7 linked regions of the Callithrix jacchus genome follow. The protein of the gene in region 1 interacts with the protein of each later gene in a pairwise test. Links are inferred from orthologs where the notes say so. Each region holds a gene or a part of one and is shown on either strand. Other genes may lie near its edges. The genes, in order: DAXX, PARK7, BTBD6, ETS1, FAM9B, MX1 and TCF7L2.

Region 1 (2,112 bases):
ATCGCCTCCTTCCTAGCTCCTGACATTTCCCCTGAAGCCCCGCCCCCCGTCTCCGGGCCTGGATTGGCCGAATAACCTTGAGTCGGTCTCTCATTGGCTTTTTCACTCCAACTGCAAGAACTGAAAAAGTAAAGTGCGTTAAGGCGGCTGAAGCACTTTAAAAAAAAAAAGTACAGCCTGAAAAACATGGCGAAACCCCGTATCTACAAAAACTACAAACGACAAAAATTAGCAAAGTGTGGTGGCGCGTGCCTGTAGTCCCAGCTACTGGGGAGGCTGAGGCATTATCACTTGAGACCGGGAAGTCCAGGCTGCAGTGAGCTGTGATCACACCACTGCACTCTGGCCTGGGTGATAAGATGAGACACAAAAAAAGAAAGAAAAAAAAAGACCAGGTTAGAAAGGACAGATCAGGACTACCCCGGGAACATCGGGCAAACCATGAGCAAGGAAAGGGACAGCTAATGCCAATCCATGACCACAGAAGGAAAAGACAGTGATACAATAAGAAAAGAAGTTTATTGTTTATTAATGTTTCTGTGTAAAACTTAAGTTTTTTTTTTTTAAAAGAAACACCAACAGGGGATTAGCTCAGTCCATCCTTTGCTCAGTCATCTGCTTCCCACCATCCTCCAAATGCTATCCCAAAACATTTTGGAGGCAGGGAGAAGGGGAGGCAGCTAATCAGAGTCTGAAAGCACGATGATCTCCTCTGGATCACACTGTGTGGCCACACTCGTCTGCAGGGAAGTGAGAGACAGAGTCAGAGAGATATGGAGTACAGGGGAAAAGAAACAGACAGGAGGATTTAGAGGATAAAACGTAGGTGGGAAAAAGCGAGACAGAGAATGTGGAGGGTGAAATATTCAGACAGAGCAGCTGAAACAGACAATGAAAGAGAACAAATTATCAGAGGAAACCCAGCCTCCCCTTCTTACCTTGTAAGTACCAGGCTGGGGAGGTTGTGACTGGGGGGTTTGGGACAGCCGGGCTGGAGAAGGGACGCAGAGGGAGCTGGTCACAAGGCCATGGCTGGGAGAGTCTACCCTTGTGGAGGAATCAGCAACCGGGGCCAAGGAAGCCAAGGGGGAAGGTGGGCTGGGCAGGGTACATATCTTTTTCCCATTCTTCTCATGCACTGACCTTCGCCTTTCCACATAGCTAGGAACAGAAACATAAATATGTGGAGGGGTACAGGAAGACTGAGGCTGGAGGGAAACAGTCCAGTCTCTCCCAACAGACTCAGTTCCCCCATATTCCTCTCCGAAAGTCCCCTGCAATCCCTCCTTTCAGGGAACTCTTCCTCCTCCTTCCCTCTTCCTCCTCCTGTTGTTATTACCTGTTTCCTAATGGCCCTGATCCTGTTTGCTTCTTCTCCTTCCGAGATTTTTTGCAGGGGGGGCCAGAATCTCCCCAGTTGTGAGGAGAGACGCCTCCATTGAAGGAAGTAGAAGAGACCATGCCTGCCCCATTCTCTAAAACAGTGGTGAGGGAGTCCTCTGACTGCTTCCTGGAAGAGGAAATGTCCGTCTCCACAGAGGAAGGGGTGGTATCCAGGGGCAAAGCTTCAATCTCTAGCTCAAAGAGCTGAGATATAGGGCTTTCTTCCTCCAGGGTCAACTCCTCAGGCCGTTCTCCATTGCTTTCAGCATCTATGCTGGAGGGGGCCAGGGGTTCTTCTGACAGTAATGATGGTGACACTGTGAGTCCTTCATTTTGCTGCTCCCCTGAAGACCTGCTGATCTCTTTGCCAGGTTCCAGGTTCTTTTCAGTAGAGATCTGTGGTGAAGACACAGGGCTCCTGTCTCCACCTTTATCTGGAAAAGAAGAAAAGGAGAGGGGGTAGCTTGAGAATGAGGGGAAAAAATACTGCTGAGAGGACACTAGGAGGAGGAAGGAAAAGGTCTCAAACAGGTGGCTTATGCCTAAGAAAACAGAAATGACAGGTGTGGATAATGTTTCCTTGACTTACCTGCTTCTTCCTCTTCCTCTTCTTCCTCCTCTTCATCGTCCTCCTGACCATCCTGCATCTGTTCCAGATCCTCCTCCTCTTCAGAATCTGTGGCCTCCTCCTCTTCCTCCTCCTCCTCCTCCTCCTCCTCCTCTTCCTCA
Region 2 (3,500 bases), on another chromosome or scaffold:
AAAAAATTAATACAAAAAACTTTATGAAGTCAAAAAAAATTTTTTTGTGCCTTTTACTTAAAAAGTTACATTTTAACTTTAAAAAATGTAACGGGGGAGAATTTTAGTATCCCCCCTCAAAAAAATTCCTAGAAATCTAATCAATTTCAAACTTCCTGAAATTACAAAATGGAAATTTTGTATTGTACTTTAGGATGTTAAAAAGAGGTTTAAAAAAATCTAGTCATTAAACAAATTACAAAATAAAAATGTATTATGTATTTAGTGCAATCTATACTTTAAAAATTATTTAGAGACAGGGCCTCATTGTCACCAAGGCTAGAGTGCAGTGGTGCAATATAGCTCACTACAGCCTTGAACTCCTGCGCTCAAGCAACTCTCCTACTTTTGCCTCCCCTGTAGCTAGGACTACAGGCATGCATCACCACGGCCAGCTCATTTTTCTATTTTTGTAGAGACAGGGTCTTGCTATGTTGTCAGGCTAGTCTTTGAAACTCCTGGGCTCAAGTAATCCTCCCACCTCAGCCTCCCAAAGTGCTAGGATTTCAGGGGTAAACCACTGTGGCTGGCTCAGAATCACTTTTAAGACCATAAACATCCTACTATTGATGGAAAACCAAGCAAAGCTCAAAACTCAAAAGAAAATATGTAAAGTATAGAATTTGTTTGACTCCTTTTAGAATCTGCACTGAAAAATAAAAGCATGCAAAAGGTAACCACTTCCTCAAAAAACTCAGTAAACAGAACTACCATGTGGTCCAGCAATCCCACTATTGAGCATGTATCCAATGGAAAAGAGATCAGCCTACTGAAGAGACACTGGCACGCCCTTTTCACTGCAGCAATAGTCACACTAGCCAAGATATTAAATCAACCAAGTTCCAACAACAGATGAATGCATAAAGAAAACGTGGCATTTATACACAATGGAATACTATTCAGCCATAAAAAAGGAATGAAATCTTGTCATTTGTGGCTATAAGAATGGAACTAGAGGACATTCTATTAAGTGAAAGAAGCCAGGAACAGCAAATTAAACACTGCATGTTCTCACTCACATGTGAAAGCTAAAAAAAATTGACCACATAGAAGTAAAAAGTAGGACAGAGGATATTAGAGGCTGGGGAGGATAGAAGAAAGTGGGGATAGGGAGAGATTTGTTAAAAGATACAAAATTATAGCTAGATAAGAGGAATAAGTTTCGGTGTTCTATGCCCCTGTAGGATGACTATAGTTAACAATCATATATAGTTTCAAGTAGCAGGAGAATACTGAACATTCCCAACACAAGGAAATGATAAATGTTTGAGATGACGGATGTGCTAATCACTCTGATCTGATCACTATACATATGTATGGAAACATCATGTATCCCATGAATATATACACTTACTATCTATTGATTGAAAATAAAGGTAACCACTGTTTTAAAATACCCAGACACCACATGACAAAAACACAGAGATGAAAAAAAATTATTATTAGTTTTGAGACAGGGTCTCGCTCTGTCACCCAGGCTGAAGTGCAATGGCACACTGAAGTGCAGTAGTTCACTGCAGTCCTCAAATTCCTGCGCTCAAGCAGTTGTCTGGGCTCAAGTCATCCTCTTGCCTCAGCCTCTTGAGTAGCTAGAACTACAGGCATGCATCCCCATGCCTGGCTTTTAAAATGTTGCCCAGGCTGGTCTCAAAACTCCTGGCCTCAAGTGATCTTCCCACTTTGGCCTCCTAAAGTGCTGGGATCACAGGTGAGCCACTGCACTTGGCCTAGAATATTTACTTCTGCTTGTCATTCCTTTTTTTTTTTTTTGAGACGGAATTTCGCTCTTGTTGCCTTGGCTGGAGTGCAGTGGCATGATCTCGGCTCACCACGACCTCCTCCTCCTGGGTTCAAGTGATTATCCTGCCTCAAACTTCAAAGTAGCTGGGATTACAGGCACCTACTACCACGCCCAGCTAATTTTGTATTTTTAGTCGAGACAGGGTTTCTCCATGTTGGTCAGGCTGGTCTCGAACTCCTGACCTCAGGTCATCTGCCCGCCTCAGCCTCCCAAAGTGCTGGGATTACAGGTGTAAGCCACTGCAGCCGGCCTGCTTGTCATTTTTAATTTATTTCAACAAATTATATCTAAATACCAACAGTCTAATTTTCTACAATCCAGTAATGAAAAATCTGAACTTATTAAAAAGGATTAAACTTTTTCCTATGTATCTGAGGACATTTCAGCACACGGAACCACACTCTAGGTTCCTCAGCAGTGCACAACCAGCCATTTGTGAGCCAATTCTACCTCCTTTCTCACCATGACTCTGCTCCCAGAGGGCACAGTCCACACTCCTGTCACCCTGAGCCCACGACAGAGTGTGCAAAAGCACCTGTGGGGGAGCATGTTTTGAGGAAAGGGATGCTAGCTTCGAAAAGTGTCCACCGTCCTTAAAGGCGAGAACCGTAATTCTAAAGATATTGAAAAAGGAACACAACTAAAGTAGAACTCTAAGCGTAGCTTTAGAAAAAAGAATAATGGCCAGGCATGGCACATGCCTGTAGTCCCACCTACTTGGGGGATTGAGGTGGGAGGACTGCCTGAACCTGGGAGGTTGAGGCTGCAGTGAGCTGTGACTGTACCACTGGACTCCAGCCTAGGGGATGGAGCAGGACCCTGACTCTAAAATAGAAACAAACAAACAAACAAACAGGAAATGTGGCAATTGATTTACATCAGGTAAAAATGTGCAATAGGAGGCAAGGACACCTGTATAAGCCGGAAGAATCCTGATGGGAAGACAATGCAGCCATCAAGCTAAGCATCAACCCACCCATCTGGCCACACACCCACCCAGCCACCCACTTAGTACATTCAGTATCAAGCGATTGCCACATTCTATGGATACAGAATAGAAAGACAAAGTCCTCACCCTCTTAATTTGTCAGGGGAAGACATTCAAGCAAAATAATTTTCTAAAATGAGTCTGTGCTGACAATAGTCTTAGATACAGTAAAAAAACATTTCAAGAAACAAAGAAGCCGTATGAAGGAGTAACTCCATGTATGGATTACAAACCTCTTTTTTTGCATCTTCAAGACTGGCATCAGGACAAATCATGACATCACGGCTACACTGTACTGGGTCTTTTCCAGCCAGACCTGCAACGGTGACCTTTATCTACAAGAAATATATTATCATGATATTTAAGAACACTGAAACATAAAGAGTAACACTGTCTTCAAAAAAAAAAAAAAAAATAGGAGGAGATGGGGCCTCACCCTGTCACCTGGGCTAGAGGGCAGTGACATAATCATAGCTCACCGCAGCCTCCAGCTCCTGGGCTCAAATGATCCTCCTGCTTTAGCCTCCCAAGTAGCTGGGGTTACAGACATGAGCCATCACACCTGGCTAGAGTAACATTTACACAGCTGCCCTGTTTGAAAGTAACATGGCAGGAAATATTGCACCAAAACTGTATCAAATTTAAACTAATACGTTGGCTAAATATATTTAA
Region 3 (4,225 bases), on another chromosome or scaffold:
TGCACTCCGGCCGTTTGTACTTCTGTTGCTGACGGACATGTGTGGACTGTCTGCACTTCGGCCGTTTGTACTTCTGTTGCTGACGGACATGTGTGGACTGTCTGCACCCCGGCCGTTTGTACTCTCCTGGAAACTGCCTATGCCGTTACCTTTTTCTATGGAGACAGATGGCTGGGATGGAAACCACAGTAGCCAACCTGTCTTTGCCAGTGAGGTCCCACACTATGAAATCGCAGCTGTGGCCTCCGTGGGTGTGTCCTTGGCAGGCGCACCTACAGTTTCTCTTGGGACCTTCTGGGCCCTCGTGCATGCGCAGCTTTCCAAAGGGCTTAGCTGTGCCAAGTTACGTGCCCACCTGCAGCAGGTGATCTCCGGCAGCTCCTCGTCCCACCAACACTGGCATTACAAGTCCCAAGCTCAGCAGCCTGGGGCCGGGGGCCCCGTTCCCTGGAGAACTGATGACGTGTGCACCCTGGGCCCCTGCAGTGTCTGTGCACGTCCTTCACCGGTTTTTTAATTGGGTCGTCAGCCTTTTTCCTTCCTGACCTGTAGGCTCATCCATCCCAGGGTCCTTTGCTGAAAATACACCGTCTTCTGAAGGGGATTCTCCCAGGGACAATTACTACGACTGCAACCACCGCCGAGCCACAGATGTGTTCACTGTTTAGCCCAGGACCAGGGCGACGGGTGCGCCCACTGACCCGAGCTGCTGGCTGCATCCTGGGGGGTTCCCGGAGACGGAGGTTTTCAGCCTGAAGCCTGGGGTCCAGGAGGTCGCGGGTGCGTCTTCGGGAAGGAACCCTCCTGACAGCCAGGCCTCTGCAGCTTCGTCTGCACCAGCGGCGCGGCGGGGCCAGATGACACCGCCCCTGAAGTTTGGTCTCATCCGCAAAGTCAGCGCCACGCACCTCCCAGGTTTAGCCCCAGGCTGCGAGGCCAGAGGCCCCACGGGGAGCGAGCCACGACTGTGATCCACAAGCACAACCACGGAGGCGCCAGATCCTGACTCGCCCACCCGCACGCTGTGTGACCTTCAGCACGCGACTAACCTCTCTGTGCCCGTTTTCTTGAGGAAAATAGCAGCGCCTGCCCCTGTAAAGCGCTGAGACCAGAATGGGCCGCGCCGTCTGCGAGCGTTTGCTGCTGGCGTCCGTAGGAACGAGGAAGCCCGCCGACCGTCCGACACGCCGCGGCCAGAGGCACAGGCAAGTGGGTCCACCCGCGTTCCTAAAGCATCGCGAGCTGAAGAACCGGCGGGCGCAGGCTCCGCGGGGCTGGGGGCGTCGGGCAGCCTGCCAGGGCCGGGAGCCGCGTTATGCGCGGCAAAGGCGTCAGCGGCTCCGAGGCGGTGGGGTTTGGGGGCGGGACCGCGCGGCAGCGTCGTCGCGCGAGGCACGGCCCTGACGCAGCGTGACGCGTCCTGACGCAGCGTGACGCGCCGGCGCCGCGGCGGGTACGAGCTCGGGCGGGCGGGACGGCGCGGACGGCGCCCCCTGCGGCCGGGCCTGGCCGGGCTGCGCTAGGCTGGGCTCGGGCAGGGTCGCAGGGGCGGGGGTGTGGCAGGGGCGCGGGTGGCAGTTCCGCGGGTCGCAGCGCCGCCGCCGCCGCCCATGCTGCTGCCCCTGGCCTGCCTGCACGGCCGCGTCGCTCAGTGCCTGACCTCCCTGCTTTTGCTTGCAGAGCCGCTCCCGAGGCCCCGGCGCAGCGCGAGAGCGCGGGGCGCGGCGTCCACAGGCCCCGAGGCCGCCCCCGCCGCCCCGCCCGCGAAGATGGCAGCGGAGCTCTACGCGCCCGCCAGCACGACGGCCGCAGACCTCGCCAACAGCAACGCGGGCGCCACCGCGGGCAGGAAAGCCGGGCCGTGCAGCCCGCCCAGCGCCCCCGCGCCCGCGCCGCCGCCGCCCGCGCCCGCGCCGCCCACACTCGGCAACAACCACCCGGAGAGCCCGGGCTGGCGGTGCTGCCGCCCCACGCTGCGCGAGAGGTGAGCGCGCCCCCCCGCGGTCCCCGCGCGCTCCCGCGTGCGCGCGCGTCCCCAGCCCACGCCTCTACCTTTGCAGGAACGCGCTCATGTTCAACAACGAGCTCATGGCCGACGTGCACTTCGTCGTGGGGCTTCCGGGGGCGACCAGGACGGTGCCTGCCCACAAGGTGGGTAGCGGCGGCCCCTCTCGGAACGCGTGCCCCGCCCGCCGTGTGGTTGCCTTGCAGCCTGCAGGACAGCCAGGCTCACGGCGGCGCTTTCTCCTCCCAGTACGTCCTGGCTGTTGGCAGCTCGGTCTTCTATGCCATGTTCTACGGGGACCTGGCGGAAGTCAAATCTGAAATTCACATTCCAGACGTGGAGCCTGCAGCTTTTCTGACCCTATTAAAGTAAGTCCACTGTGTGCTGGGGAACGAGGGGTGGGTCCTTTCTAGGCAGCCTCCCGTGGCTTCGGAGGGGGACCCTGCAGGAGCTGATGGGCTCCTCACCTATGCCCAGCCCCTGACCCAGGCCCTGCTTCGCCTAGGTACATGTACAGTGATGAGATTGATCTGGAAGCCGACACAGTGCTGGCTACGCTGTACGCTGCTAAGAAGTACATTGTCCCAGCATTGGCAAAAGCCTGCGTCAACTTTCTGGAGACAAGTCTGGAAGCCAAGAACGCCTGCGTCCTGCTGTCCCAGAGCCGGCTGTTTGAGGAGCCCGAGCTGACGCAGCGCTGCTGGGAGGTCATCGACGCACAGGCTGAGATGGCCCTGCGGTCCGAAGGCTTCTGTGAGATAGACCGGCAGACACTGGAGATCATCATCACTCGGGAGGCCCTCAACACCAAAGAGGCGGTGGTCTTCGAGGCTGTCCTGAACTGGGCCGAGGCGGAGTGCAAGAGGCAGGGGCTGCCAGTCACCCCACGAAACAAGAGGCATGTTTTGGGACGAGCCCTCTATCTGGTACGAATTCCAACGATGACCCTAGAGGAGTTTGCCAACGGCGCTGCCCAGTCAGACATCCTGACTCTGGAGGAGACCCACAGCATCTTCCTGTGGTACACCGCCACCAACAAGCCCCGCCTGGACTTCCCCCTGACCAAAAGGAAGGGCCTGGCCCCGCAGAGGTGCCACCGATTCCAGTCTTCTGCCTACCGCAGCAACCAGTGGCGGTACCGCGGGCGCTGTGACAGCATCCAGTTCGCAGTGGACAGAAGGGTATTTATTGCGGGGCTGGGCCTGTATGGGTCCAGCTCTGGGAAGGCTGAGTACAGTGTGAAGATTGAGCTCAAGCGGCTTGGGGTGGTTCTGGCTCAGAACCTGACCAAGTTCATGTCAGACGGATCCAGTAACACTTTCCCAGTCTGGTTTGAACACCCAGTCCAAGTGGAACAAGACACCTTCTACACGGCCAGTGCCGTCCTGGACGGCAGCGAGCTCAGCTACTTTGGGCAGGAGGGGATGACGGAAGTGCAGTGTGGAAAGGTGGCCTTCCAGTTCCAGTGCTCCTCCGACAGCACCAATGGGACGGGGGTCCAGGGTGGGCAGATCCCTGAGCTCATCTTCTACGCCTGAGGAGCCCCGGGGGGCCGCAGCAGGTCGGAGAGAGAGTAGAGGGAATGTCAGATGCTAACTGCTGCCCGACACCATGCAAGCCACACTTCACCTTGTGTGTCTTTGGCATGCAGTCAGCTGAAGCTTGATTCTGGGAAGTAGACGCCTTTCCACACAGCCAGAGCCCAGGGAGTCCTGTCTTTGGCATGTAGCCAGCTGAACCTTGATTGTGGGAAGTGGATGCCTTTTCCACACAGCCAGAGCTGGGGGAATTGGGGTCTCAGGCATCTCTGGTGTGCTGGGGTGCATGTCTCAGGTGGAGGAAGATTTAGGGCACAAGGCAGGCCCCAAGATCCCATGCCACCTGCTTTGAGGGGCTGGATGTTCCTGCCACCGTCTTGGATTCTAAGTGGCTCCAAGCTTAACTTGAGACCTTCCCTTTAAATCTAAAATTGGCTAAGTCACTTAAAATAGTGGACTTGTGTAATAAAGGTTGTCTAAAATAACCATGTGTCAGTAATGACTACGGTAATTGTAGAGGGGGTGTTCTCTTTCTCAACAACAGAACAGCTCCTGCCCATCCCCAGGAGAAAACCTTTCATGCCGAACATGCTATATGGTTAGAAGCAAAGTGTGCCCCAGCAAAGCCCATCCGTCCCCCTGGGTCGCTGGCGCCTGTGGGCCACCACGGGAAACTAAAGGT
Region 4 (4,024 bases), on another chromosome or scaffold:
TAATTTTTTGTATTTTTAGTAGAGACGGGGTTTCACCATGTTGACCAGGATGGTCTCGATCTCTTTACCTCGTGATCCATCCGCCTCGGCCTTCCAAAGTGCTGGGATTACAGGCGTGAACCACCGCGCCCGGCCTACCATGCTGTTTTAACTGCATTGCCAACTTTATACAATGAAGGCTGATGGTGATGTTGCTCTAAATGAGTTATTAGATTTTCATGGACTTTCAGTTTGTATCTTCACTAAGAAGGGAAAGAAGCCAACTACAACAAATTTTAACTCCCACCTCCTACTCAAAGAAAATGGAACCTCTTAGGATACAAGTCTTAGATCAAGCAGTCAAATACTGACTTTCCAAAAAAAATTTTTTTTGTAATAACTCCATTCATAGAAATGAGATTATGGTAACATTCCTACCATAGACCTGAATATGTGAATATAAGATACTGTGTATTTTCACTTAGGACAAATATAAAATTTTCATATTGTTTACATTTCCCCTAAATGAGAAATGTATGAACACTTCTGCCCTTTTATTCCTACACCACAGACAAAGAGTCAGGGCTACTAAAGGTAACCTTATTTTAGAGATTGCCTAAAACCGTACTTACATAAAAAGGGGATTTCAGCTTTACTTTTCAGAAATCCCAAGTCCCTATCCAGTCAGCTCTCTTGCACAAAATTATTTTCTTTCTTTTAGAAAATATTGCATTTCACATCAAGTTATTAGTGAGAAACAGGAAGCCTGAGCAGGTGACTAGGTGATGGACGTCCTGTTTGCTGATAGTCTCCAGCTCTGTTTCTAAAGCAATCCCTTTCCCTTACCTGAGCTCTTGCCTAGGTTAGTGGAAGCTCCATTGAGAGAGTCAAGGAACTGGAAGCATGAATATTTACATATTCAGTAGAGAGTAAATCCATCAGTAAATGATGAGATGATAAGCAATGTTATCCCACTGAGCTAGTTCCCTTTTGCTCATCTCCCTCCCTGTTATTCCCCAAGGCTGAGTTATAGTCAGTTGAAACATAATTTGAAGAATAAAAAACAAGGTGTGATCTGGTGCCGCTACTGCCAATAAACACTGCTTTCCACCTAGACCGCTGAGCTTGTGCTAGTGGCTGCTGTCCTGGTGCCAGGGGCAAGAGGAAGAATGTCTTTTTTTTCCAGCTTTCCCTGGCTTGACCACACCCCCCAATTTAAGGAGGCAGCTCTATTAGAAACATTATGGTCTTTGCATCCTCCTAAGCTACTGAGCAGAGCATTCCCGCAGGTAGTTGGAAAGAGACCACAGACTTTGAGGGAAGCTCACTCAGGATCTGCTCTCCGGCAAAGTAGTAAGTGAGGTGTGTGTGAGTTTCTGCCTAAAACTTTTCAGTCTATTTTCCTTTTCCTGTTTAAAAAAAAATTTCTGCGGAATTAAGGAGCAAGTTGATAGGGACATTCCGGATACAAGTGTGTTTTTGCTTTCTCTTTTCTCATCTTTCTATATTCTCATTTAACTGTCTAACAATTTTCAAAAATACTTCCTAACCTCGTCAGAATAGTCTGAAAGCAAGACTATGTTTTTCAAAATGTTCCCTGCTTCTTAAAGCAAAACCATGCATGTTTTAGATACCCATAGACTACTTGTCAGAAACCCTGAATTTTTTTTTGCAAATTGGAGCACTTCCAAAGAAATAAAGCTGAAGTTGAATATGAAAATTTCTTTTTTTTCCTCTTTCACTCCTAGTAAGCCTATTGTGTTACTTTTTTTTTTTTTTTCTGTCTAGCAGCTTAATGAATTGCTTTTAATAGAGAGGAAATTGCTACCGGTTTGAATCTTGCAAGCAAAACTAACCTGTTTGGTGTTTTTAATCTGTCTTGGGACTGATTTGCAGTTGTCCAAGGATCTACAAGTTCTTAAGCCTGTTGTTGAAACATGGTGTGTGTGTGGCCAGGGCTTGTCTCAAAGTCAGGGAGGTGTTTCTTTTCCCCACTGTAGAGCTGGACTTCGTGGCAGGAGATGTCGATGGCAATTCCTCTCCATTCGATGATTTTATCTGGCTGTGACACTTTGTATGTGACTTCTCATCCACTATTAAAGGTCTCTGTTGCGACCTTTTAAAGTAGCGTTTTCTTCGGGCAAACTTAAAAGGTACTGGGTCACTGAAATCAATGCATTCTATTGCAGGTTTTCCTTATTACCTTTTGGATAAGTTTTCAATCTCAAGGCCATTTTTCTTCCTACGTTAGACCACTGCCATGAAACTGAGAAAAGAGATATTTGTTAAACAGCAGGAAATACCGAATCTAAAATGATAACTGGCAGCTCCATTTGATTTGTAAAATTACCGATACTATAACTCTTTCATCAGTTGTGGTTTTGGATTCTGTGGCCTCTTTTTTTTTAATCTGAAGAGAAAACCCTCGTGCACAGCTGTGGCCTGTGCACAAGGGCTGCAGGGTGGCCACTGCTGCTGTTGAGAGTCTCGCTCACCTGTTGTTCCTGAATGGAGGGAAGGGAGAGCTAATGCGTTAATGTCTGCAAAGTGCTTTGAAGATGAAAAGGTCTTTTCATGTGTTCAGCAGTGCAGTTATTAATATTAATATTTGAAGAAGCATGCTGCTTCTAATTGTAAATCAACTACTCCATCCTTGCCAACTCAGTAGTGAAATAACAAACAGTTCAGGCAGCCATGCAGCCTCTTCCGTCCTGGTTCCGCTGCTGAGGATGTGGGAAGCCAAGCTGAAAGCCTGATTATGGAGTGGGCATCGTTGCCTCGCAGGCTTCTTAAGTGGAGGTGCTAGTTGCTGGCTGTGAAAGGATGTCCTGATGCAGAGCCTGGGGGAAGCTGGTAAAGGATGGAATCCTTTGGTATCTGGCAGTCTGTGGTACTGGAGAACCAGCCAGAGCATGGACTTGAACCAGTGGCTGATCCCAGATGATAATGGAGTTTAAAGGCGAGTAGGGTCAGAACTTGAACCAGCGCTGGGTTGGAGTAGGGAAAGTGGCTGTGCACTTGGATTCTGTCAGTGATGAGCTTTGTAACTGAGAACAGTGATTGAATGTGACTGTAACTTATTCTCTTCATCTCTAAAAGGTAAACAATCATTTCCGCCCCGCCAGGTTTACAAAGATGAGAGAATAGAAGTAAACAGCATAGGGCTATGAAAAATCATAGTGCCAATGAGGTCAAGGACTGTCGGAAGTAATAATACAACAAACTGGGTGTGTGGGTGCAGGTCTTGTCACCTAGGGGAGGGTGAGACAGAAGGCAAAACACTGTGCAAACAAATAACCAACACATTTCTCTCTTTGATTGCACTGGTGAATTGCTTACCGATAACTAAGGTTCTGACATACCTTGTGATTTTATTTTATTGGTGAATGGATCTGTTTTCCACAGCGACTATCATTTTCTAATTACCATTTCAAAATTTCCAACTGTTCACATCAAACAGCAGAAGGGAATGATTACATCCCAGGAGCTGGAACCTCCCTCCCTCCCTCCCTCCCTCTCTCCCTTCCTTCTTTCCTTCCTTTCTTCCTCCCTTCCTTCTTTCATTCTTTCCTTTTTCCTTCTTTCTCTCTCTTCCTTCATTCTTTTCTCTCCCTCTTCCCTCATTCTGTTCTTTCCCTCTTCCCTCCTCCTTTCCTTTCTGTCCTTCGTTTTTTTCTTCATTATGAAATTCTAAAGTATTTAGCATTTGAGCACAATTAGTGTGGTATGCAGCAATTTAGTGGCATTTGAGGAAAATCTTGTAAGTTTCTTCAATCCTAGGGAAATTTAGATGTGAGGACATAACTTACTTTTTGTTTTCTCATCTCCTTTATCCCTGCTATACTGAAAATATAGCTTATCACAATACCCTTTTTAATATACATCATTCTCTGGTTATCATACTCGTTTTTCTTCACTTCATCTAAGGAAGGATACTCAGCCTTAATGTTTACTGAACACTTAGTATGTTCCAACACCCTTGCTGGGTGTTTTGCAGGTTCATTTAATCTACGATGAAGTTTTGAGGTGGGCCCTCCACTCTTGT
Region 5 (4,092 bases), on another chromosome or scaffold:
GTGCTCTTTCTCGTTATATAGACATTAAAGGCTGTTGATTAGTTTTCCTGATGACTGCCTTTATAATTTCAATAACATAATGAACCTCTGTAGCTCGATTTACCAACTCTAGGCAGTATTTATTCACTCCCAACTCCAAAACAACCTTTACGACCTATTATAGAAGACTGGAGGTGGAAACAAGCTGAGTTAACGATATTAAGGCATTTGAGGGTGAAGGTTGTGGGATATGTCTGGAAAAGTCTGGAGCATGAGGGTTTGTGGGCAAGCCTGGGCAAGCCTGTGGGCAAGAAAAGTAGTGAGGAAACAAAAAAGGTTGTGGGCCTGGTGGGGTGGCTCACACCTGTAACCTCAGCACTTTGAGAGGCATAGGCAGGCGGATCACCCGAGGTCAAGAGTTTGAGATCAGCCAAAAAATAAAAATAAGAAAATTAGGCCAGGCGCAGTGGCTCAAGCCTGTAATCCCAGCGCTTTGGGAGGCCGAGGTGGGTGGATCACGAGGTCAAGAGATCGAGACCATCCTGGTCAATATGGTGAAACCCCGTCTCTACTAAAAATACAAAAAATTAGATGGGCATGGTGGTGCGTGCCTGTAATCCCAGCTACTCAGGAGGCTGAGGCAGGAGAATTGCCTGAACCCAGGAGGCGGAGGTTGCGGTGAGCCGAGATCGCGCCATTGCACTCCAGCCTGGGTAACGAGCGAAAACTCTGTCTCAAAAAAAAAAGAAAGAAAAGAAAAGAAAATTTAAAAAATTAGCAGGGCTTGGTGTTGGGAGCCTGTAATCCCAGCTCGTCGGGAGGTTGAGGCAGAAGGATAGCTTCGACCCGGGAGGCAGAGGTTGTAGTGAGCCGAGATTGCACCACTGCACTCCAACCTGGGCAATAGAGCGAGACTCAGTGTCAAAAACAGAAAACATAAAAGCGCAATCCATTGATAAAAAGGATGCAGCAGGGCATGTTGGAAGCACACAGGGAATGGAAAGGAGCCTGGGCACCACCCATAGGGTGATGGCCATTCCAGCCAAAGGGGCAGGGGTGGCTGGAACGAGTCCAGGGGCGAGATGCTAGGAGGCCTTGTCCACTTGGCCTCCATTCCGAGTCCTTGCATCCCACCCCAAGAGGAGGAGCCAGAAGATTGTGGGGATGGAGGCCCCAAAGGGCCACCCCAACTTCAGTCAACAGTAAGCCCTGGTCGGTCCCTTAAGGGGAAGGAGAGGCGTGGCAGCAGGGGGTTGGCCCCACACAGTCCTTCACCGGCATGCGCATGCGCATGCGCACTGAGCTGACCAATCAGTGAGGAGCGTGGGAAGCCAGGCCGGGTCTCTTTCTAAGACAGTCTCGTAGTGCCAGTGTCTTCTGTAGGTTCTGTGAAGGAGCCACATCAGGGGTCCCTCAGGTGACGCACTTGAGGCAGGGAGGTGGGAAGGTGGGCACAAGACCGTCTGGGAACCAGGGTGTGAAGAGCTGGGCGCCAGCTGACCTGTGAGGAAATGGTCCTGGGGTCCTCACCTGGGGCCTAGGTCAGGGCGAGGCACTGAGGGTAGACTGGGGTGGCTGGAGCAGGGAGGGAGCTGGAGCCACCTGGGTGGCCCCCCAGGACGAGGGAGTGTTCTGGGTGCTTCTGTAGGTGTGCAAGGGGGAGGGGCTGACGGTGCCGGGGAGGGGAGTGAGGCGGGCCGGGGGCGTTATGGGGGACGGTCTGAGTGGGTCTCTCCTGCCCAGCATCCTGTCAGAACAGGACACTTCAGGTCACTGGAGGTGCCCTGTGCATCCAGGAGAGCGAGTGGCAGTGTAGCTCCTGACATTCCTCTGGAGATGGCTGGGGAGATCCTGTGTCACTCCGCCGCCCTCCCAGCCACTCAGGGTCTCTTGGGGATCCAAGGGCAAGGCCAAACTCTGTCCCAAAGGCGCGGGTAGGATGCCTCAGAGGCCGTGGAGTTCAGGTGTGTGAGGCAGCTGTGAACTCTGCAGCCACCCCCGGGGACGGGCTGGACGGGCCAGGACGGGAGGGGACACTGGCATCTTCTCCCTCCCTCCTGCTCCCACAGGAGACTCGGGGAGGGCCAACCCCACCCATCTTGAACCCGCGATCCCAATGGCTTTCCTTTCTGACGCCTCGTTTCCTTAGCTTCCTTAGTCGTCTTTGCGCTCACCAGGTTCCGGGGTCGCCTCTAGTTTCCCAGGACGGCCAGCCATGGAACGCAGGGGCAGAAAGCACAGCAGGAGGGCTGCCAAGGCCCACTTGGAAGCTCAAGGTATGGCTGCCCAGGACAAAGAGCATGCAGGTAAACACAGCCCAAGGGGACCCGGAAGCAGGCGCACGCCCAAGGAGACGTCTGTCTGATCTCTGCTGGGGATCACACTGGCAACCCAAGGTCCCCGGCCTCTTCATGGCTTTGGAGTCCACTGTGCACGTGCTAAGACATCCCGGTTTTCAAAGCAGGCTCGAGGGCCTTAGACTTCCCACGGGAGGCTCCACCTCAGGCAGGGTTACAGGTGCTCTCAGAGTAGCTCTTCTCCATGGCTGAGGTCCTGGCGTCCAAGGAGTCTGACCTGTAGTGTGTCGTTTACTGGGACTTGAACCCCAAGGGCTTCCAAAAGTGCCTCCATTAAATGGTCAGGAGCCGGTGATTCCACGTATAGCCCTGCTTTAAAGCTTTAGTTGGCAGACAGCCAAAAACAAGTCCACAAACGGTACGTTTCTCCATGAAAAATGTCCACAACAGCGTCTTCCTCTAAAAACGGATTTGTCTTTTAAATTTTGATGCAGGAAAGGATCCAGTAATTGATGAACGTGAGGAAAGAAACCCTTTTACAGAAACAAAGGAGGAAGATGTAACTGCTGAGCAGGGGGAAAGAGAACCTCTTGATGAAACAGATGAATATGAGGGGTAAAGTGTGAAGTCACTGTTGTCTGTCGGATAGAGCCTTTTAGGAAAAGTCAGCTTTGGATCATGTCATCACCGTTCTAGTCTATGCAGAACATTTCACATAAGACATTTTTTCCCAACAAACACGACATTTTGTGTAGTCCTATGTTAAAATTTTGATGTAACTTTTTTTTTTATAGGGTTGATACCAACAAGCCAGAAGATATTGCAGGTATGCCTTAGGAAGTATCTGTAGTTTATGAAAATTGTTTTCAACGGTACAACTGTTACAGTAGGTTATGTGAATTAGTGGATGACAGACTGTCTTACATGCCTTCTTCTCATATGTAGCATTTAACTTAAGTATTTACCATAATCTGTTTGATAAATTTTTCTTACCTTTGTGATCATTAATGTGTAATGTAAGAATGCTTCTAACAATGGTGAATCGAGAGGGATGGCTTTTCTTTCATACACATGGAAAGTTAATTGTTGGGGGATATTAGAGGACATTGGAGGAGAAACAGCTCTATTCAATCCTTTCAGTGTACACAGATTAAGTCATATATCAGTTTTTTTTTCAATCTTTTACTTTAGGTTTGAGGGTACATGTACAGGTTTGTTAGATACATTGCGTGTCACAGGGGTTTGGTGTACAGATTATTTTGTCACCCAGGATTATAAGCATAGTACCTGCTGGGTGGTTTTCATCCTCACTCTCCTCCTGCCTGCCACCCTCAAGTAGGCCCAGGTGTCTGTTGTTCTCCTCTTCCTGTCCCTATGTACTCAGAGTGTTTAATAGGAGTTTTTCATCTTTCTAATTCAGCTATTCTATTGTCACAGCTTTCTGATTTTGTTTAAAAAAATTGAATTCTCGAAAATGATTTTCTATTATTATTCCAGCAATAAACTGTGTAGTAGAAAAGGAAAGACAACTTTTCTACCCAGTGGGAAACATGTCATTGGATCCAAAAACTCATACATTTTGTATAGGCATGTTACATGTTAGTTGCACTGACTGTTATAGGACCGTATTTTCAAAAAAGTTTGAGAAAATTTCTGTAGAGATGATGGAGACAATACTCTTATTTTTAAAAAGCTCAATTCAGTTTTCAGCTTTTCTATAGCGATAATACACATAAGCAGAATATTTGGAAAGCTTTGCTCGCTTGGTGGTGACAAAGTGCTGGTTTTGTGAGTTGCCTAATACATTGAGTGTGTT
Region 6 (2,521 bases), on another chromosome or scaffold:
GAGAAGGATGTTTAGGATGCACCTGCCACTGTGCACCGCAGCCCTCATCAGGGCCTGGAGGGTCCAAGGGTGAAGTTTCTCCTCCCGGGTTTTGTCACCCAGTTTCTCTAAACCCCAGGAACATAAAACAGAATTTGTCTGACTTAAATCTGGCCCTCCTGCTCATTCCTGTGGATTTTCTGATGGTTATGACAATCCTTGCCATCAGGTATAAAAGCCCCTAAAAGAGAAAAGAAAGAAGCTGAGTTATGGGGCCTGAAAACAGAGCTCATGCAAGTCCCCAGGCCCCAGGATGGGGGTCCGGCCCATCTGTGACTCAAGCTTCCCCAGAAGTTCTGACCCTCAGCCAGGGCTAGAAACCCACCTTAGATACACCAGGGCATGGCCCAGAAGGCTACCACTGGGCAGTGGATAAATAAATATCAGGTGAGTAGTCTGGTATTTACAGACTTCTTACCTGCTTTCCTGTGACGTGGGAATTTGTGTCTGGGGGAAACTGAGCTGTGTCTTTCTTTTCCATAGTCCAAAATCGAAGACATTAGAGCAGAACAAGAGAGAGAAGGTGAGAAGCAGATTCGCCTCCAATTCCAGATGGAGCAGATTGTCTACTGCCAGGACCAGGTGTACAGGAGTGCATTGCAGAAGGTCAGAGAGAAGGAGCTGGAAGAAGAAAAGAGGTCCAAGAAATCCTGCTTTGCCATGGTTGTCGAGCCCTCCTCATCAGAGTCTTCCATGGAGGAGATCTTTCAGCACCTGATGGCCTATCACCAGGTACGCCTCCTCGGGGCTCAAGATGGCAGCTTCCATTCCATGCCTTTTCTTCAGTCTTGCTGTCTCTGTAGATGGCATGGTCAGCTCTGTCGTTCCCTTCTTATTAGCCTCCTGTATTAGTCCATTTTCACACTGCTGATAAAGACATACCCGAGACTGGGCAATTTACAAAAAAAGAGGTTTAACGGACTCACACTTCCATGTGGCTGAGGAGGCCTCACCACTGTGGCAGAGGCAAAAGGCGCTTTTCACATGGCGGCAGTGGCAAGAGAGAGAATGAGAGCCAAGCGAAATGTGTTTCCCCTTATCAGACCACCAGATCTTATGAGACTTATTCACTGCCACAAGAACGGTATGGGAGAAACTGCCCCCATAATCCAATTACCGCCCATGGGGTTCCTCTCACAACATGTGGGCATTATGGGAGTGCAATTCAAGATGAGATTTGGGTGGGGACACAGAGACAAACCATATCACCTCCATAGAAGTAGTTCAACCTCAGACAGACAGGTGGTGGCTTAGGGCCACTGACATCTGGGTCTGAGCCTCAGCTTTCTCTGCAAAATGATGTCTCCTCATAGATTCGAATGCATGTTCCAGGAGATGAGTGTGGATGATATTGATGGATTGCTAATGGGAAACCAACCTCTGCTAAAATAGTTTCAAGAGTTTTATTCTGAACCAAATATGGGGGACTGTGGCTCCAAGAACAGTCTCAAGAGGTCCTGAAGAAGTGTGCCTGAGGCTGGCAGGATGCAGTTTGGTTGTATACACTTCAGGGAGGCAGGAATTGTAGGTAAAATCATAAATCAATACAAGGGAGGGGTGAGTGTCCTCCGTAAAGAGGCAGGACACCTTGAACGAGGGGAGCTTCCCAGCCATCGGTGGGTCAGAAACTTTTCTGGCCACTGGTTGAAAGAGCTCAGCTTTGTCTACAGACTTGACATCAGTAGAAAGAAATACCTGAGTTAAGGGCAGTTTTAGAGGCCAAAGTCACATAGTTGACGACTCCAGGTAGCAGCCTTCAGAGAGAATGGATGGGAGATCTTTCTTCTCAGGCCTTAGAGGCAGCAGGCTCTCACTGAATCTCACCTAGTTTCAGGGACGCTCTAGCAGGGGAGAGGTCTGACTGCATTCGTGCAGAGTCTCTACAGGTGCAGACTTCCCCCAACAGCACATGGCAGGGCCATTTCAATCTGTTGGTCCTGTAACAGCCATTTGAAAATATGTCCAAAAGACATATTTTTAGGTAAAATATTTTTATTTCCTTTAGGGTCTGCTATTTGTCTTGTGATGCTATTGTTATAAGTAAAATGTTAATGCCACAAAAGAAATAGCACTTGAACATAAGTCCTCTCGGCAAGGCAGTTTCCTTCTATAGAAGGTGTGGCTCGTGGAGGGAGCAGCGGTGGCCACACGCTTGGACAAGGAGGGAGGGCTGCTTATGCCTGACGGGGGTCGCCCCTACTGCTGTGTCCTTCCCCTATTGGCTAGGGTTAGTCTGCACAAGCTAGACTAATCCGGACGGGCTATTTTAAAGAGAGCAGGGGTCCAAGCTGGAGGGGCAGGGTGGGTATTTCGGTGGGAGGGACTGTTATGGGCGGGTCAGAACAGGTAGCCAGGGATGACCTAGGTCAAAGCAGGTGACCGGAGCAGGTGACCAGGATGAGGCAGGATGGAGCTGGGGACCGGGAGAACAAATGTTAGCTACTGATTAGAACAGGTGGAGAAGTTTGTTTACCAGAAGTAC
Region 7 (4,124 bases), on another chromosome or scaffold:
AGTCTACCTCTTACCGAACATCTACAAAAATGAATCTTCTTGCTGTATCACCCAGCAACACTGTGTTTTGGGAGCCGGGCCTTTCCTCTTTAACATAATCCCACTCCCCATTTTGTAGCAAATCAGTCTGCTCCTCCTCTAGTAACTAAAAGTCAACAAATACCTGCCTCAAGCCCCAGGTTTCCCATCTTCTCCCGGAGGTCTCCTAGCATTGGTTTGGTTAGCAATTTCCTGCCACAGCCACCTACATCTTGATTATTTGGTCAGTCTTTCGGGGATTTCATTTCAGAGCCCCTTCGAAAAAAACTGCAGCCCAACTGATCCCAGGGGCCCGGTGAACTTTCAGTTTTATTTTTCCCTGGCGGTGTTAACGCCCAAACTTTTCACCTCCGAAGTTTTCAAAAAGGACTTTGACTCTAGCTCATATCCTACCAGCTCCAACGTCAGTTAAAAAAAAAAAAACAAAAACAAAAAACCACTAAAACACCACTCTACATGTAAAAGAATCCTATATTTTTTCCTTAAGGATACTTTTAATGTCTCTGACATTTAGTATTTGTTTTTTGGATAAAAAGTCATTTTGGCATATTTATCCTAGTGGGACTTAACAATTCATGAAATGATTCACTACTAATAAACAAAAAAGGGAGGAGGGGGCCTCATGGGTTAATAGTTTCTTTCATTGTAGATGACCAGGAACTTTGACCAGCCCCTTCACTTCTCCAAGCTCTCTGAAAGTGGAGGGTTGATTTTTTCTTTTGACCACCTCTGTCGCATGCCGCCCAAGGGTGGCTGATTCTACTGTTGAATTAACCACCAAGCATCCCCCCCAAACCCCGCCCCCAGCCACCACTTTCTCACAATTCTACCCTTCCTTTTCCCCTCTCTTAAGACTTATTTCTAATATTACTAAACTGCACTTTTTCTGGGCCTCTCCCCATCCCCGCCCCTCAAGTGGGCTTTCCTTCCGCCTTCCTCGGCTCGGATTCCTGACTTGGTCGCCACCCCCTTCTCCTCCTCTCCCACCCCGCATTGTCTTTCTGAAACCGCCCCCTCCCGGAGCGAGTCCCTGCACCCTCGCCCAGAATCCAGGGCTCGCACACACTCCGCGCAGGCCGCTCCCCCTGCACACTCCTCCCTCCGTCTCCCCCCTGCTTCCCCGCCCCTCTCCTCCTCCTCCTTTCCCTCCTCCCTCTCCCGGCGCCCGAAAGGATCATTGTTAGCCGCCCCCGCCCCGCCCACCCGGGCTGTTTATTTATGCACACGTCACCGGGCAGGCCCCGCCCTCCGGCATCTCATTAAGGCAGTGTGTTCCTCTCGCCCTGTCAATAATCTCCGCTCCCAGACTACTCCGTTCCTCCGGATTTCGATCCCCCTTTTTCTATCTGTCAATCAGCGCCGCCTTTGAACTGAAAAGCTCTCAGTCTAACTTCAACTCACTCAAATCCGAGCGGCACGAGCACCTCCTGTATCTTCGGCTTCCCCCCCCTTTGCTCTTTATATCTGACTTCTTGTTGTTGTTGGTGTTTTTTTTTTAACCCCCCTTTTTTATTTATTATTTTTTCGCACATTGATCGGATCCTTGGGAACGAGAGAAAAAAGAAACCCAAACTCACGCGTGCAGAAGATCTCCCCCCCCTTCCCCTCCCCTCCTCCCTCTTTTCCCCTCCCCAGGAGAAAAAGACCCCCAAGCAGAAAAAAAAGTTCACCTTGGACTCGTCTTTTTCTTGCAATTTTTTTTGGGGGGGGCAAAACTTTTTGGGGGTGTTTTTTTTTTTTTTTTGGTTTTCTTCCTCCTTCATTTTTCTTCCAAAATTGCTGCTGGTGGGTGAAAAAAATGCCGCAGCTGAACGGCGGTGGAGGGGATGACCTAGGCGCCAACGACGAACTGATTTCCTTCAAAGACGAGGGCGAACAGGAGGAGAAGAGCTCGGAAAACTCCTCGGCAGAGAGGGATTTAGCTGATGTCAAATCGTCTCTAGTCAATGAATCAGAAACGAATCAAAACAGCTCCTCCGATTCCGAGGTAGGAAAAGCCCCTCGGGCTGGTGGGGTTTTTTATCTGTTTCCTGGGCTTGGCAAATGTTGCTGAAAGGGGAGAAATCGGGGCTAGGGGCGGCGGCGGGGCCCGGCGGGCGGCGTGTGCGTGCGGTGCCACCATTGCAAAAACTTGTAACCCTGTTTTTTCTACCCCCCCACCCCGACCTCGCCGATTCTTTTTCTCCCCGTTCTCCTCCCTCTGCGTGGCGTTTGCCCCTCGCCCTCCCCACCTCCACCCCTCCGGGAAGGCGGAAAGACGGCCTCCGCCTCGCTCCGAAAGTTTCCGAGATAAATCCCGAGAAAGTTTGGAAGAAGGTGAGTACGCCCCGCGCGCCCCGCAGCCGCCCCCCGGGCCGGCCGCCCGCCCCGCGCGCCCGGGCCCCGCGCCCCGCTCGGTCCGGCCCCGCGCCGGTCCGGCCGGGGCGCCCGGCCCCTCGGGGCACTTTCTAAAAAGTTTCTCCTCGCTCTCTCCCGCTCCGCGCGCCCGCCGCCGTCCTCTCGCCGCCCCGCCATGTTAGCGGCCAAGAGGCAAGATGGAGGGCTCTTTAAGGGGCCACCGTATCCCGGCTACCCCTTCATCATGATCCCCGACCTGACGAGCCCCTACCTCCCCAACGGATCGCTCTCGCCCACCGCCCGAACCGTAAGTGCCTCCGCGCCCGGCCCCCGCCCGCTGCCCGCCCGCCCGCGCCGCCCGCCGGGCCCTGCATGCGGCCCCTGCCCTGCCCCCTCCCCGCCTCCCCCTCCCCGCCTCCTCCCCTCCCTCCCTCCCCTCCCCCGCTCGCGGCCCAGGCGGCCCGAAACTCTCCAAACTTTTCTGCCTTTTGTGGACTGGATTTGTTTGCACTTCGCCACGTTCTTGCTTTCAGTTTGCTGCCTCGTGATGTTGGGGAGACCTCTCTTTCCAAGCAGGGCTTTGTTGTGGGGGGGATCCGAAGAACTTTTCTTTTGCGCTCTGGTTCCCCCTCCCCTTTTGGTGGCGGTGGTTGTTTCTTCACCCTGGGAAGATGACTGTGTGGCTCTTTCTTTGCTCTCTCTCCCTCTCTCTCCTTCTCTTCCTTCCCTCTTCTGTGGTGTCTTGGGCTTTCCCCGATTAACCCCTTGGCTGCCGCTGCGGGCCCTGAGTGACTGTGCTGCGCCCGACGCGCGGGCTAGAGAGTGGGTTTCCTCCAGGCGTTGGACTTGAGAACTGGCGAGCGCGCAGAGCCGGGGGCCTTGGAGAGGCGCCTTGGCTTTCTCTTACGGGCGGCTGTGTATTTAGCTTTCTAGTGGCGATCGCGGACTCTCGGCCCTCCTTCCTCCTTCCCCTGGAAGGTCACACTTCCCAGATTGGTCCCACCGCAAACTTGGGGGCTCTGAGGAGCCCTTTTCTTTGGCAACCTGCGGGGCCGCGGGCGCCCTGGGTGCTGTGGCGGGCTCGGCTGCCCCGTACGCTGGCTGCGGGCTCTCCTGGGCCGCGCGGGGCAGCGGGGCAGAGCGGGGCGGGGATGCCCCTGCGGCCCGGGTTCTGGGTTTGTGTGCAGCCGGATGGCCTCCTCGGAGCAGACTTGTATATTTCTAGGGAATTTTGGCGCCTTGGGTTGTATGGCGGGGTCTGCGCTCGCCAGCTTCCGTGTAGGCCCTTCGTGGGGCCCCCCCGGGGGGGGGGCAGAGACCAGGGTGTGCGGGCTCAAGGAGGTGCAGGGGCCGAGGGAGGCCGGGGCGCCTCTCCTTCCAGGGAGTGGGTCGCCGATCGCCGGCCAGCCAACTTTGGGGGCCCCAGGGCAGCGCGGGGTGCCGGGCTCCGGGGGCGCTTCCTGCAGCGTCGGTCCCGCGCCCAACCCTGACATTTGTTAAGACGGCTCATCCCCTCCCCCACCGGCCTCTGCCCCCTGCCCTCACCCTGAACCCCCTCCTCCTCATCCCTCCCTCTCTCTTCTAAGAAGCCTGGATTACGAATCTCTGGACGCAAGACGCGTTTGCGCCTGGCTTCCCGGGATTGTCATTTTACACCCTCTCCGGTTTGGTCCCCATACCCCTTATTTACACACACGACTTTTGTTTTTTCTTTTTCGGTAACTTTAGTTAGCAATTTGAGATAATGC

The links.
Region 2: the proteins of DAXX (region 1) and PARK7 interact in binary tests that used the Homo sapiens proteins (3 or more experiments, as listed by UniProt). The link is inferred for Callithrix jacchus from reciprocal best matches to the Homo sapiens genes DAXX and PARK7.
Region 3: the proteins of DAXX (region 1) and BTBD6 interact in a two-hybrid assay, tested with the Homo sapiens proteins (2 studies listed by BioGRID and IntAct). The link is inferred for Callithrix jacchus from reciprocal best matches to the Homo sapiens genes DAXX and BTBD6.
Region 4: the proteins of DAXX (region 1) and ETS1 interact in binary tests that used the Homo sapiens proteins (3 or more experiments, as listed by UniProt). The link is inferred for Callithrix jacchus from reciprocal best matches to the Homo sapiens genes DAXX and ETS1.
Region 5: the proteins of DAXX (region 1) and FAM9B interact in binary tests that used the Homo sapiens proteins (3 or more experiments, as listed by UniProt). The two-hybrid records come from large-scale screens. The link is inferred for Callithrix jacchus from reciprocal best matches to the Homo sapiens genes DAXX and FAM9B.
Region 6: the proteins of DAXX (region 1) and MX1 interact in a two-hybrid assay, tested with the Homo sapiens proteins (2 studies listed by BioGRID). The link is inferred for Callithrix jacchus from reciprocal best matches to the Homo sapiens genes DAXX and MX1.
Region 7: the proteins of DAXX (region 1) and TCF7L2 interact in binary tests that used the Homo sapiens proteins (3 or more experiments, as listed by UniProt). The link is inferred for Callithrix jacchus from reciprocal best matches to the Homo sapiens genes DAXX and TCF7L2.

Annotation. Positions count from the first base shown.
Region 1 is NC_133505.1:41,560,895-41,563,006, forward strand, and holds the end of DAXX (death domain-associated protein 6), read right to left. Parts: coding exon 1,973-2,112; intron 1,818-1,972; coding exon 1,340-1,817; intron 1,162-1,339; coding exon 939-1,161; intron 741-938; coding exon 681-740; 3' UTR 501-680; downstream 1-500. UniProt on the Homo sapiens protein: Transcription corepressor known to repress transcriptional potential of several sumoylated transcription factors. Down-regulates basal and activated transcription.
Region 2 is NC_133508.1:45,845,144-45,848,643, reverse strand, and holds part of PARK7 (Parkinson disease protein 7), read right to left. Parts: intron 3,164-3,500; coding exon 3,062-3,163; intron 1-3,061. UniProt on the Homo sapiens protein: Multifunctional protein with controversial molecular function which plays an important role in cell protection against oxidative stress and cell death acting as oxidative stress sensor and redox-sensitive chaperone and protease.
Region 3 is NC_133509.1:140,102,195-140,106,419, forward strand, and holds BTBD6 (BTB/POZ domain-containing protein 6), read left to right. Parts: upstream 1-1,425; 5' UTR 1,426-1,610; coding exon 1,611-1,984; intron 1,985-2,052; exon of another isoform or gene 2,053-2,060; coding exon 2,061-2,151; intron 2,152-2,254; coding exon 2,255-2,373; intron 2,374-2,510; coding exon 2,511-3,543; 3' UTR 3,544-4,028; downstream 4,029-4,225. UniProt on the Homo sapiens protein: Adapter protein for the cul3 E3 ubiquitin-protein ligase complex. Involved in late neuronal development and muscle formation.
Region 4 is NC_133511.1:28,281,487-28,285,510, reverse strand, and holds the start of ETS1 (protein C-ets-1), read left to right. Parts: upstream 1-1,224; 5' UTR 1,225-1,332; exon of another isoform or gene 1,333-1,341; intron 1,342-4,024. UniProt on the Homo sapiens protein: Transcription factor. Directly controls the expression of cytokine and chemokine genes in a wide variety of different cellular contexts. May control the differentiation, survival and proliferation of lymphoid cells.
Region 5 is NC_133524.1:9,247,216-9,251,307, reverse strand, and holds the start of FAM9B (protein FAM9B), read left to right. Parts: upstream 1-1,292; 5' UTR 1,293-1,396; intron 1,397-2,128; 5' UTR 2,129-2,194; coding exon 2,195-2,285; intron 2,286-2,770; coding exon 2,771-2,891; intron 2,892-3,070; coding exon 3,071-3,102; intron 3,103-4,092. UniProt on the Homo sapiens protein: May play a role in meiosis.
Region 6 is NC_133522.1:47,284,102-47,286,622, forward strand, and holds part of MX1 (interferon-induced GTP-binding protein Mx1), read left to right. Parts: intron 1-522; coding exon 523-771; intron 772-2,521.
Region 7 is NC_133513.1:105,892,379-105,896,502, forward strand, and holds the start of TCF7L2 (transcription factor 7-like 2), read left to right. Parts: upstream 1-1,324; 5' UTR 1,325-1,837; coding exon 1,838-2,026; intron 2,027-2,288; coding exon 2,289-2,355; intron 2,356-2,558; coding exon 2,559-2,683; intron 2,684-4,124. UniProt on the Homo sapiens protein: Participates in the Wnt signaling pathway and modulates MYC expression by binding to its promoter in a sequence-specific manner. Acts as a repressor in the absence of CTNNB1, and as activator in its presence.